Linked DNA regions of Saccharomyces cerevisiae S288C. The protein of the gene in region 2 purifies or fractionates together with the protein of the main gene of each other region. This does not show direct contact. Each region holds a gene or a part of one and is shown on either strand. Other genes may lie near its edges.

What was found. Proteins that work in one complex are often made in the same cells at the same time.
Region 1: the proteins of LAS1 (region 2) and RAT1 purify together in Saccharomyces cerevisiae (affinity purification with mass spectrometry; 4 studies listed by BioGRID, with this or other methods). This does not show direct contact.

What each region holds. Positions count from the first base shown.
Region 1 is NC_001147.6:418,130-423,214, forward strand, and holds RAT1 (ssRNA exonuclease RAT1), read right to left. Parts: upstream 3,522-5,085; coding exon 501-3,521; downstream 1-500. Other genes in the region: phospholipid-translocating ATPase RSB1, read right to left, coding at 4,539-5,085. UniProt on the Saccharomyces cerevisiae protein: Possesses 5'->3' exoribonuclease activity. Required for the processing of nuclear mRNA, rRNA and small nucleolar RNA (snoRNA) precursors.
Region 2 is NC_001143.9:559,467-564,841, reverse strand, and holds LAS1 (rRNA-processing protein LAS1), read left to right. Parts: upstream 1-2,544; coding exon 2,545-4,053; downstream 4,054-5,375. Other genes in the region: OAF3 (Oaf3p), read right to left, coding at 1-2,295; transcription factor TFIIE subunit TFA2, read right to left, coding at 4,190-5,176. UniProt on the Saccharomyces cerevisiae protein: Regulates cell surface growth, bud formation and morphogenesis. May act indirectly by regulating factor(s) involved in these processes.

The DNA.
Region 1 (5,085 bases), on a different chromosome or scaffold from region 2:
AAGATGTGCTTTCGTGACTTGAGCGAAGGGGTTGGCGTTGTATAGCATGAACTTCCCAATATGTTGCATTCATCCCTGGATGATAACAGACCAAAGACCAAATTTGATTTTAAGTTTAGGAACTTAGAAAAAAAAGGTAGTGCCGTATTCGAAACTTTCGCCGTGGACTGCCTCTCTTTTCAAAAAAGAAGAACAGACCATGCTTTTTCTCCTGGATCTGGAAGAAAAAATACACGAAGCGTATAAATCAAAATAGAGTTCGGTCTATTGGCTTACAAGGATTTCGCTATTTTACAAGAGGACGTATATTCATATATTCATGCTTCAGCATGATTTTCTCTTAACTTAATATGTTCCATTTTTTGTTATAAAATATTACTGTTCGTCGTTTGTAAGAGCAGACACTATTATCTTAAAAGAGCTTTTTTTTAATTGTATGAAGATTTTATAAATTTGCGAAAACCTAAATTTACCATAAAATAAAATGCGCACGAGTAGTTCTAACGCCTATTTGCTCTTGAATTGTCATACCGACTTTGCTTGTTATTCCGAGAGTAGCTGTTGCCGCTGTACTGTCCACTATTTCTATTTCCGGAATAGTTATTGTTCCTGTAATTTGAATTTTGTCTGTAATTATTGTTTCCACCATCATACCTGCTATTGTTGAAGCCGGGTTGACTGTTGTAGCTATTCCTACCATAGTTGTGGGCGGGTTGGACATTATTTCTACTGAGCTCAGCAAAATAAAAGAATGCTCGATAGCCACCAGTTCTTGGTTTGTACTGAGTAATACCCTTTGGTCCTACTGGAACAATATTTTGCTTCAAATCATTACCAAAGTTCCAGCGACGGGAGTAATTTTGGTTATTATACTTGTACATTATGGAATCAAGGTCATATGCTGTTAGTACCGGTTCTGACGGAATGAACCCGTTCAGTATAATAGACTTATTTCTCGATGGCAACGGAATTAATCTATAGGACATCTTTAAAATCAAGGTGGTAGATAAATTTGGCAGTGACCCACCTTGAATCGGACATACAATTTTCCCATTTAATTCGAAACCTTCAACGTCCTTTGATACAATACCACTTAAACCACTCTTGAAGTGTTGAAACTTCACAACAACATTGTTGTTGTTGTTTTCCTTTGAGTATAATTTCTTCGAAAACCTCTCATAATTAGCATTCTTGTTACTTATTAATAAAACAGGTTCTCCGCGAATATTTCTTGCCCTCTCAGCATCAGAAAGTAAAGGATATTGTGCACGAACAGCTGTTAACAGTCTATCCTGATCGATGAATGGTAGCAACGCTATGCCTTGCCAGGACATCTTCTTACCATTCATATCTATGGGAAATTCTTCAGGATAAAAATCAATGATTTCAGAGTCAGGTTCAGACATCAAAGACCGGAAAATTTTTGGCAAAGCATGGCCAGATGCAGCTGGTAAAACACTCATCAATTGTTCGTAAGGTAAAAATGGAGTACCTTCTTCGAACTTTATCTCCAAGTGAGAAAACCCATGGAAATCTGTTGCCAGAGGAGCATAATGGTACGGATAGAACCAATTCCAAGAGGCACAACCTTGATAGTAATACATTAGTACCCAGGCGACCCCTTCGATATAGCATTTTACCATATCTTTTCTTAACTGTTCAATATCTTGAGGAGTAACGTGAAATTTAGCTGTGTAATATCTTTCGTGGTAACCAGGTTCGAATAGTTTGACAAATTCATCTGTATCAAAGACCCCATTTTTGGGACCTTCGCTGACATTCACTGTGCTGTGGACTGGTGAATCTCTTGATACTTCTGTAGTTTCAGAGTTTTCCCTGTCGTTTACGTCAGCCACAATCTCATCTTTGATCTCTGCATCGAGATCGCACTCTGATTCCGCTTTCTCTGTCTTAACTTTTTTGCTATCCTTAGCAATTTCTTCCTCTTCATTATCCTTTTCAAGACGGTGTTTCTTATTTATTATTTTCTGTTTCATAACTTCTGCAAGGTTAAAATTAGTTTTGTTAGCCTTACTAACAGCATCATCAATTTCTTCCTTGCTGATATCTTTCATCAGTTCATTGTTCTTATCACTCTGTTGCTTAACTTTGGCGATTGCTTCTTCGTTCCCCTCGTTCGCAAGCATCAGTTCCTTTTTCAACCTTACCATATCACTGGTGGTCAAGTTCCATGAACCTTTTGCTAAATTTCCTTGTGTGTCATACATTTGCAGTTGCTCCGTAGCTACTGTAGGATGCCTGTCTTGACCTTTTGACATATTTTTCTGCGCTTTCCTTCTTTCAAAAGCTTCTTTCTTTCTGGCTTCTTGAATATGTCTAGTTTTGAAGATATCCCCCTCACGGGAGCCAAGGTGTTGCAATAGCGTTTCAACAGAAGGGAGGTTCAAGACACCGTCGCAGGTCATGTACGTTTTCAATTTCGGTAGTACTACCTTCCAAATATCCAAGAGAATATCAATACTATTTTCTCTGACATCTAAGCATGGTAAATGTGGTAAAAAGTCATTACCACAGAAAAAGCACATGAAAACCCAATCGTCGATAGCCCTTTCTAAATCAAATGTAAATGGAAGACCCGGAACCCATAACTCAGCGGACAAGTATTCCCTCAAAACATTTATGTGCAGCCACAAGAAAGGTTGTTCGGAATTTTGTTTTTGGAGAAATTGTTTTTCTTCTTCAGTCATATTTATAGTATCTTTTAAGTTATTTCTTTTCCGATTGTCTTGAGCAAAAACATCTTCTCTTAGAATTTTAAAATGTGGTTCATGAGTGGCAAGGCCCAAAAAAATTAAATCAGCATCCAAACCGTATATACAGTGCGTTGTGTTGGGATTATATTCAGGATCAGCTCTTTGAGACCTAATGAAATTCATTATTTTGTGCTCACCTTCACCTGGGACGGTGGCGTCACTGATAATCACCTGCAGGTTTTTCCAACCAGGGTCAGTGGCCAGTTTAAATGCTGTCCAATAACGGAGGGCCGCGGCAAGCTTATCCATAAATGGGGTGCCTGGAGTGATCGCATTTGAATCCCAAGTTTTCTTGTTCCTGACGGCATCATCGATTATCTCACCAACTTCTTCTCGCTGTCTCATAATTTCTTCCCTGGCTTCGTTTTCAATCTGAGCATCCCTAGCACTCCTAAATCTACGCGCTCTCTGCTGGTTCATTTTGGCACGAGGAGCAACACCATCAACAGCCATAACAAGTACCTTGCGTGGTCTAGCCATATTTAACACACGATTGGTATATTCAAAAACTGCCAAAAGCATTTCATCTTCAGTCTCTGGAGGCGGTTTGTTTTCTGGGTGCGAACATGGATGAACAATACCATTCATATCCAAATACAAGTTGTCTAACTCACCGTTTGGATTTGAGGCGGAATAATCCAACGGCAATATGACACCGTCGACTATCTGAGGTTGCTCTTCCAATACTGGGGATATGATCTTTGGATATTTTCGAGATAGCCATCTGAAAAATGACGGAACACCCATTATATTACGAAACTTGGCTGTAGCACTTCCTTGAAGAACCTGTCTCACTAATTATTACGGGATGTCTTTATGTTGTAATAGGTTCATCGATGAGGTTTGGTTTTTTATTGCCATAGCTGAAAATCTTATCTAGATACTCTCGTTACCCGACTTATCATTCCCGAGACGCTCAAATATACAACCTGATGAGAAAGTAAGGTAATATACCTCCAAATGTTCAAGATTATAAAATACATTGCAGTGCCTTAAAAACGTACTTCCGATATTATGTGATAGTAAACTTTTCGTAGTTTTTCATCAGAGATGGGGAAAGCTTTTTTGGTGAATTGATTTTACAACTACTTGTTTCAGTATACTATAAAAATCGAGTAAAATTCGTGAATCTTTGAATAGAAAAGATTTCGTGAACATATCTATAAATTAATCACTTTCTTAACCGATATAAGATTTTAGCCCGGTGATATAGGCTTCAATCAGCAGTTACGCTTTTTTGCTTTAATTTTACTGTTTATGGAGGTAAACTAACGCTCCTGCTCTCTTTCATATATCAACAGATAGGTCTGTTGATTGATTCAAATAAATTTATTTTCCTTATGTGCGCCATAATTATATGACCCTATAAGCTGCCGATAGCGGATTTTCTGTTCTCTATGGGAAACTCTGTAGTTTTCTTTTTTTTAGTTTAGTTCGTTCCCAAAAATGGAAGAACGTCAAAACAGTGATCTACATTAAGCTGAGGCGAAAACACTAAACGAGGAAAGTTATACGATGGCACAGGAACAAAATAGAAAGTATGTATGACGTTGAAGGCTGATTAAAGCATTGAAAGGGGAAAAATACTTGTGAACTAAAAAATGTACATATTACGATGTCGAAATATAAGGAAGTAAAAATGCTGTCCGGTTCTTTTGAATAGGAGAAAAAATAAACAGAACATAGTCGGGAACTTCGAGAAAAAAAGTAAGAATTGAAAAATGCATATGAACGATCAGATTGACATTCAAATTCTACGTATCACTAAAGTTTAGCCTTCTTTTTAGAGGAAAACAAGTTAGCTATTTTGGACATGAATTGTTTGAAGGTGCTAATCGGGTATTTCATGCTTGCTTGGAATTCCTCCTTTTCAATATCAAATTGTTTTGAATCCGAAGTATCTAAGATATCTTCAACATCGTCAGTATGTGGTAAAGTTTCAGGATCAACATGGCCCGGTGTGATTGGAATCGAGGTGCTTCTACCTTTAAACGCAAATCCAGGGTGGAAGATGGTCAAAGTGACCGTAGCGATGGCCATCATTAATGCATCTAAGATAATAAAATACCACTCGTGTGTGATCAGATAGCCATCCCAACCGACAACTAATTCAGCCAAACGGTAACAACAACGGGTAAAAATGGTTAGTACCGCAACGGTTATTGCCAGATTAAAATAATGAAAAACCCAACGTTTAGGTTCGAGTCTCAAAAAATGGAACTTTTCCCTGTATAAATAATCAACTTCTGTTTGCGATATCTTTAAGAGGCTCAATGAGATAGGTCTAGAATTTATGTGTTCCCATCTTACC
Region 2 (5,375 bases):
TGTCATATCATCGTTGTATTTACCTATGGGATAAAACTCATTGTTCCATATACTTAGAATATCTGGCCTATACCCATCATATTTTTGTACTGTCTCCTGAAATTCTAGTATTATTGGACAGATGTCATTTAATCTCATATCGTTGTAATCTATATAACTATCACCGTTATCTTCTAGTTTCAATTCATTCAGCAAAAATTTTAAAATAATTCTCCATGCATCTTTTTCACATGAGCGATTCAAGATCTTGTAGGCAATTTTAGCGGTGAACATTTTTCTAAAACAACGATAGTACTCAAAGCCAAATTCGTTAAAATACACAGACGAGACCCCGTAAAGAAATTCTATCATTTTCTTCTTGTCGGCGTACTGAATTGTTTTGAAGCGGTCTCCTCTGAGAATGAATGCCGGAACAATGACCAAAACTTTGTTTGCGACAATTTCCACGATTCTATTGGTATAAAACTTTGTCAATGAATCCACCTCTAAGGCATCACTGTTAAAAAAGTAATTGTAGCACTTCTCTGAGATATGAATGACCATATCCCACAAATCTTGGAAACTCTTATAAAATTTTGTAATATTGCAGTCATATTCATAAAAGATCATTTCTCCGTGCAGCAAACTTAGTGAGAATAAATCTATTATCCATTCCATTTCGAAATCAAAATGACGCATTGTTTCTTTTTCGTTTTTCGACAGGCTTTTTAAAATATGAAAGTTTCTTTTTAAATCATTTATTAGTCGGTGCAACAAGTTCAAATCTACCTTTCCTGGATCATCGTTCAACGTATCGTTTATCTTTTTCATCAAGTTATCCAGGGTTAACATTCGTATATACCATGTGGGTGTATCTGCTTCTTCTTTGAAATGGCACTGCAAGGTTTTCCCAATTTGACATTCTTCACCGCTAATAAAACACATCTTCCTGTCCCAAAATAAAACATAACTCCATATCTTTCTGAAAACTGAAATGTAATCGCTAGGTTTCATTATATCGTATGAAGGCCTCGTATGTCGGTTTATTTTAAATGAATATTTTTCTGGATGAGAGAAGCAATACCAGTTAATGCCCATTTCTTTACATGATGATATTATTGTCCCCATTAAGATTTGACAATATTGAGTTTCGGGTCCATCGCCATCTTCAGGGGCACACCAGTGCAAGAACCTTAGTAATATGAGACATTGCAACTGTAATAAATTACATTTTCTGAGGACCTTCGTCTCGAACAAATAGTGTTTAACAAGAGCCAAAAACTTAGAGGTATCAATTTCTTGAAGAACCGGGTATATATATGGAGTTAGCTTCGAAAACTGGACAGAAAGTCGGCATATTTTAATAATCAACAAGATTATGCAGAAAACCATATGATCGTAGTGTTTTATAGAAATTGGATTCCCTTTCTCGACTATATTTTGATAAAATATCGTTATTTCATGACGCAAAACTTTCATATCGAAAATCGGTATCATATTGTAAATTTTTTCTTCAAAAAGTGCTAAAACCTCACTTTCAAGTATTTTTAAAGGAGGCAAATAATCCTTTGCTAATATAGTTTCTGAGCTGAATTTTTTAGCATTATTTTCTCTGTATTGAGCGAATTTGTTAAACAATGATTTGTGAATAGTCTGATGCATGCGGAAGTTATTGCCCTTACCAACAACATCATCGCTAATGTGGCGTTCGTCATCAGCATCGAAAGTGGATAAAGCTTCGAAAGATTTAGGCAAGCTTCCATTTTTCACATTATTGCCGTTGCTTCCCAATTTATCCATCATTTTTTTGATTGCGATACTTCTAAATGTTACCATTGCTTGGAGATAGGGGTCGCGATTTTCAATTGCTCTATCCGTGAACAGACCAAATAAATTATCAGCAGACCTTTTGGTCTCTAAATAAAACCCATTAGGGATGAGGTCAATAAAAAATGGAGTTTCTTCATGAATTGGTAGATAATAAAGTGATGATTGATTTTCAAGTTCTCGTACTCTTTGCCAGTGATCTTCGTCTTGTCTTGTCTGTGACGATCTTCTTTTCTTAATGAAACCTGGACTTATTCGTTCCGCAGGAGTTGATTGTTTCCTCAGAGGGTCAGCATCATTCAATGAAGGACTGCTTTCAGGTTGTCCAGAGCTATCGGTGAGATAGACACAGCTGTCCACATCTCCCAGTCGTACACATGTTCCACATGGTTTCGTTCGATCGCACTTACTTTTCCTTTTTTTGCAATTTGTGCATACTACAGTAATTCGATGTCGTTTTTTTGTCCTAACTTGGGAGTCATATCCCATTATGAGATCAGTTGTCAACTAAAGTCTGGTATCAATTGGTTTCTAGTTTCTTTCTTCTCTTCATAGACTCATAACACTGCAAAATCGCAACAATAAATTCATGACTTATTGTTATGCAAAAAATTACCCGAATGTGAAAGATTAATAAGCTCATCGCAGTCGCAGAAAGAGTGAAAAAAATACCTAAGAATGCCTAAATTAGCTTAAACAAAAGTCATTTCTAGAAAGCAATGAAAAAAGGGCAATCTAATGATACCACCACGAATCGTTCCATGGAGGGATTTTGCTGAACTAGAGGAGCTGAAACTTTGGTTTTACCCGAAAAGCAAAGGAACCATTGAAGATAAGCGACAGCGTGCAGTGCAAAGAGTACAGAGCTACCGACTAAAGGGTTCCCAATATTTACCTCACGTGGTGGACTCTACAGCACAAATAACATGTGCGGTATTGCTAGACGAAAAGGAAGCGTGTTTAGGAGTACATCAGGATTCTATTCCTATCCGGTTATCGTATGTAATGGCTTTGATTCGGTTTGTCAATGGCTTATTGGATCCAACGCAACAATCTCAGTTCGCTATTCCCTTACACACATTAGCTGCTAAAATTGGACTGCCGTCCTGGTTTGTTGATTTGAGACACTGGGGTACACATGAGAGAGATTTACCTGGATTAGAAATGCTTCGTTGGGCCGCCAATGAAGCGTTATCTTGGCTATATGATCACTACTGGAACGATGAGGAATTAGAAGATGACAGGGATGATGATGACGATGATGATGATACCGGTTACGGATACAGAAGAAATGATAAACTGGAGAAATATATGGAGTCATTAACTAAAACACTTGATAAATGGAAGCGACTTAGAAACGAGTTTCTGGAATACAAATGGGTGTGGGAGAATGCAAACGATAGTTTAATTACAAGTAGTAACTTTTCTGGGGATAATTTGGTGAACTATGATGCCGAAAAGAGGAAAAGTTCACACGCAAGTTCATCAGAAACTATGATCAGGGAAAATTTGCGTCAATGGCAAGAACTTTGGAAATTATCCATTTATCACAATGTGGTTCTTGAGAAATTTTTTAACAATTATGACCCACTTTTACTCAAAGTTTTAATGCTTAATTTGAACAATTTTGATTGGAAGGTCATTGAGTGGGTAGCTAGGAATTACAGAACCCAACAAGATGATAGTAATATAACGACAATTTTAAAAAGGAAATTCAATGCCTGGAAAGAACTACAAAAAAGGCTGTTAGATGTTATTATAAATAACCTTAACAATAAAAATTTTAAAAATAAATGGCAAAATTGGGAGAAACTTATTGATGAAAATGCGTCATACTTGATATTGTATTTTTGCCAATCTATGCTGGCCAAACTAGAGACTGAAAAAATTACTGGTAACTCATGGAGAAACAAAAAACGGAGAAAACAAATTGATAGCACAGTGGAAATCGAGGCAAAACTGAAGGAAAACATAGACAATTTATCATTAAGGTTTAATGAAGGTGAAATAAAGCTGTATGATTTTATTCCTGCGGAAAAAGATTCCGTTCCATTGAAGAAGGAAGTGAGTCCGGCATTAAAGGCTGATACCAATGATATACTAGGCGATTTGGCGTCTTTGAAACAGAGAATGAGCAGTTTCGGAACAGTAGGTAAAAAAAATAAACAAGAGGAGAACAGAGCTACACCAGTAAAAAATTGGTCAAGGGTTCAAAATTGGAAACCCAAACCCTTTGGTGTCCTGTAACCTGTTTCCAATGCTCGTTATAAATACGTTGTAGACTATAAAGCTGAGTTGTATGCTGCACCCTAACGTGCATGTATATATAATCACAGTCTCTTTAACCTAATATGCAAACGAAAATGATTTAATCAAAACAACCTCATACTCTATGGGAATAATCTTTCAAGATACCGGTCATATGAGTGTTAGTAATCTTACCCTTTCTTTGTCTCTTCTTTTTAACTTCAACTCTCTTTGTTTGTCTTTTGATAGTAGCAGGATCGACACTAGCAGGCTTTAGACCTAAATCTTGCAGCTTTCTTGGCAATTCTGCAAATTGCGGTAATTGCACATTTTCCCACATTTTAACAAACTCCTCGTCAATACATTTCAAGTTACCACCGCTGTTATACCAAACGTATCTTGGAGTTTTATCCTTTTTAGTTCTTAACACCAAAATTTTGCTGTCTTCCTCCAGTTGGTTAATCGTTTCATCGCATTGTGGCCAACCGTCTTTCAAGTCTTTGCAGGAAATACCTTTGAATGTTACTTGTGAACGTAACAACTTCAGCAGTTCCGAAGGGGAATGGACATCGTAGGTGGAAAGGTATTTGAAAGTCCCCTTCTTGGGGTCAAACTCTATTCTATCTAATTTTTTTAAAAGCTCAATAACCTTGTCATCTTTTTTCATTGACAAGTAGTCCAATAACTCATTCACCAAAACGGGCTTACCTTTCTTTTGAATGTATTCAGTCGCCCAAAGCAACTTTGAAGAATCGTGACTCTTGGAAATATCTGTTTGATTTGCTTGTAAAGCGGCTGCAGCAATAGAGCCAGGCCTTACTTTTTTTGAAGGAGAGCTACCAAAATCTTCGTCGTCATCGTCGTCATCTAATGAAATAGCATTAGAGCTATTGCTCCCAGCTTCTTTCTTGATATCCACTAACACAGGATTTTTCGCAGAGTTCAAAGTGTTTTCTTGCGCACGTTCGGAGGCCGTCCTCTTCCTAGTGTTTCCATCTATAGTAATCACTGTGTCATTGGTCTTCTTCTGTCCAACTTTAGCGGGTGCGATCACCGGGGCAGACTTCACTTTGCTTTTGAAAGCGTTCAAATTAGCCAGTAGAGGGTCCCTGTTTTTACTCATCGCAAAAGACTACTCTCTTTTCCAAATCGAACGAACTACTTGGTATAAAACAGTTCTGTGTAACAGCTTTCTCGTGTTCTACAGAGCACACGGTTATGTAACTAGTTCACTTCTTATTAGCTCTTTTGCCCTGATTCGTAAGTGAACTTCTTACCCGAAGTAAGCTCGCGCTTTTCTTTTTCTTCTCGCATATAACATT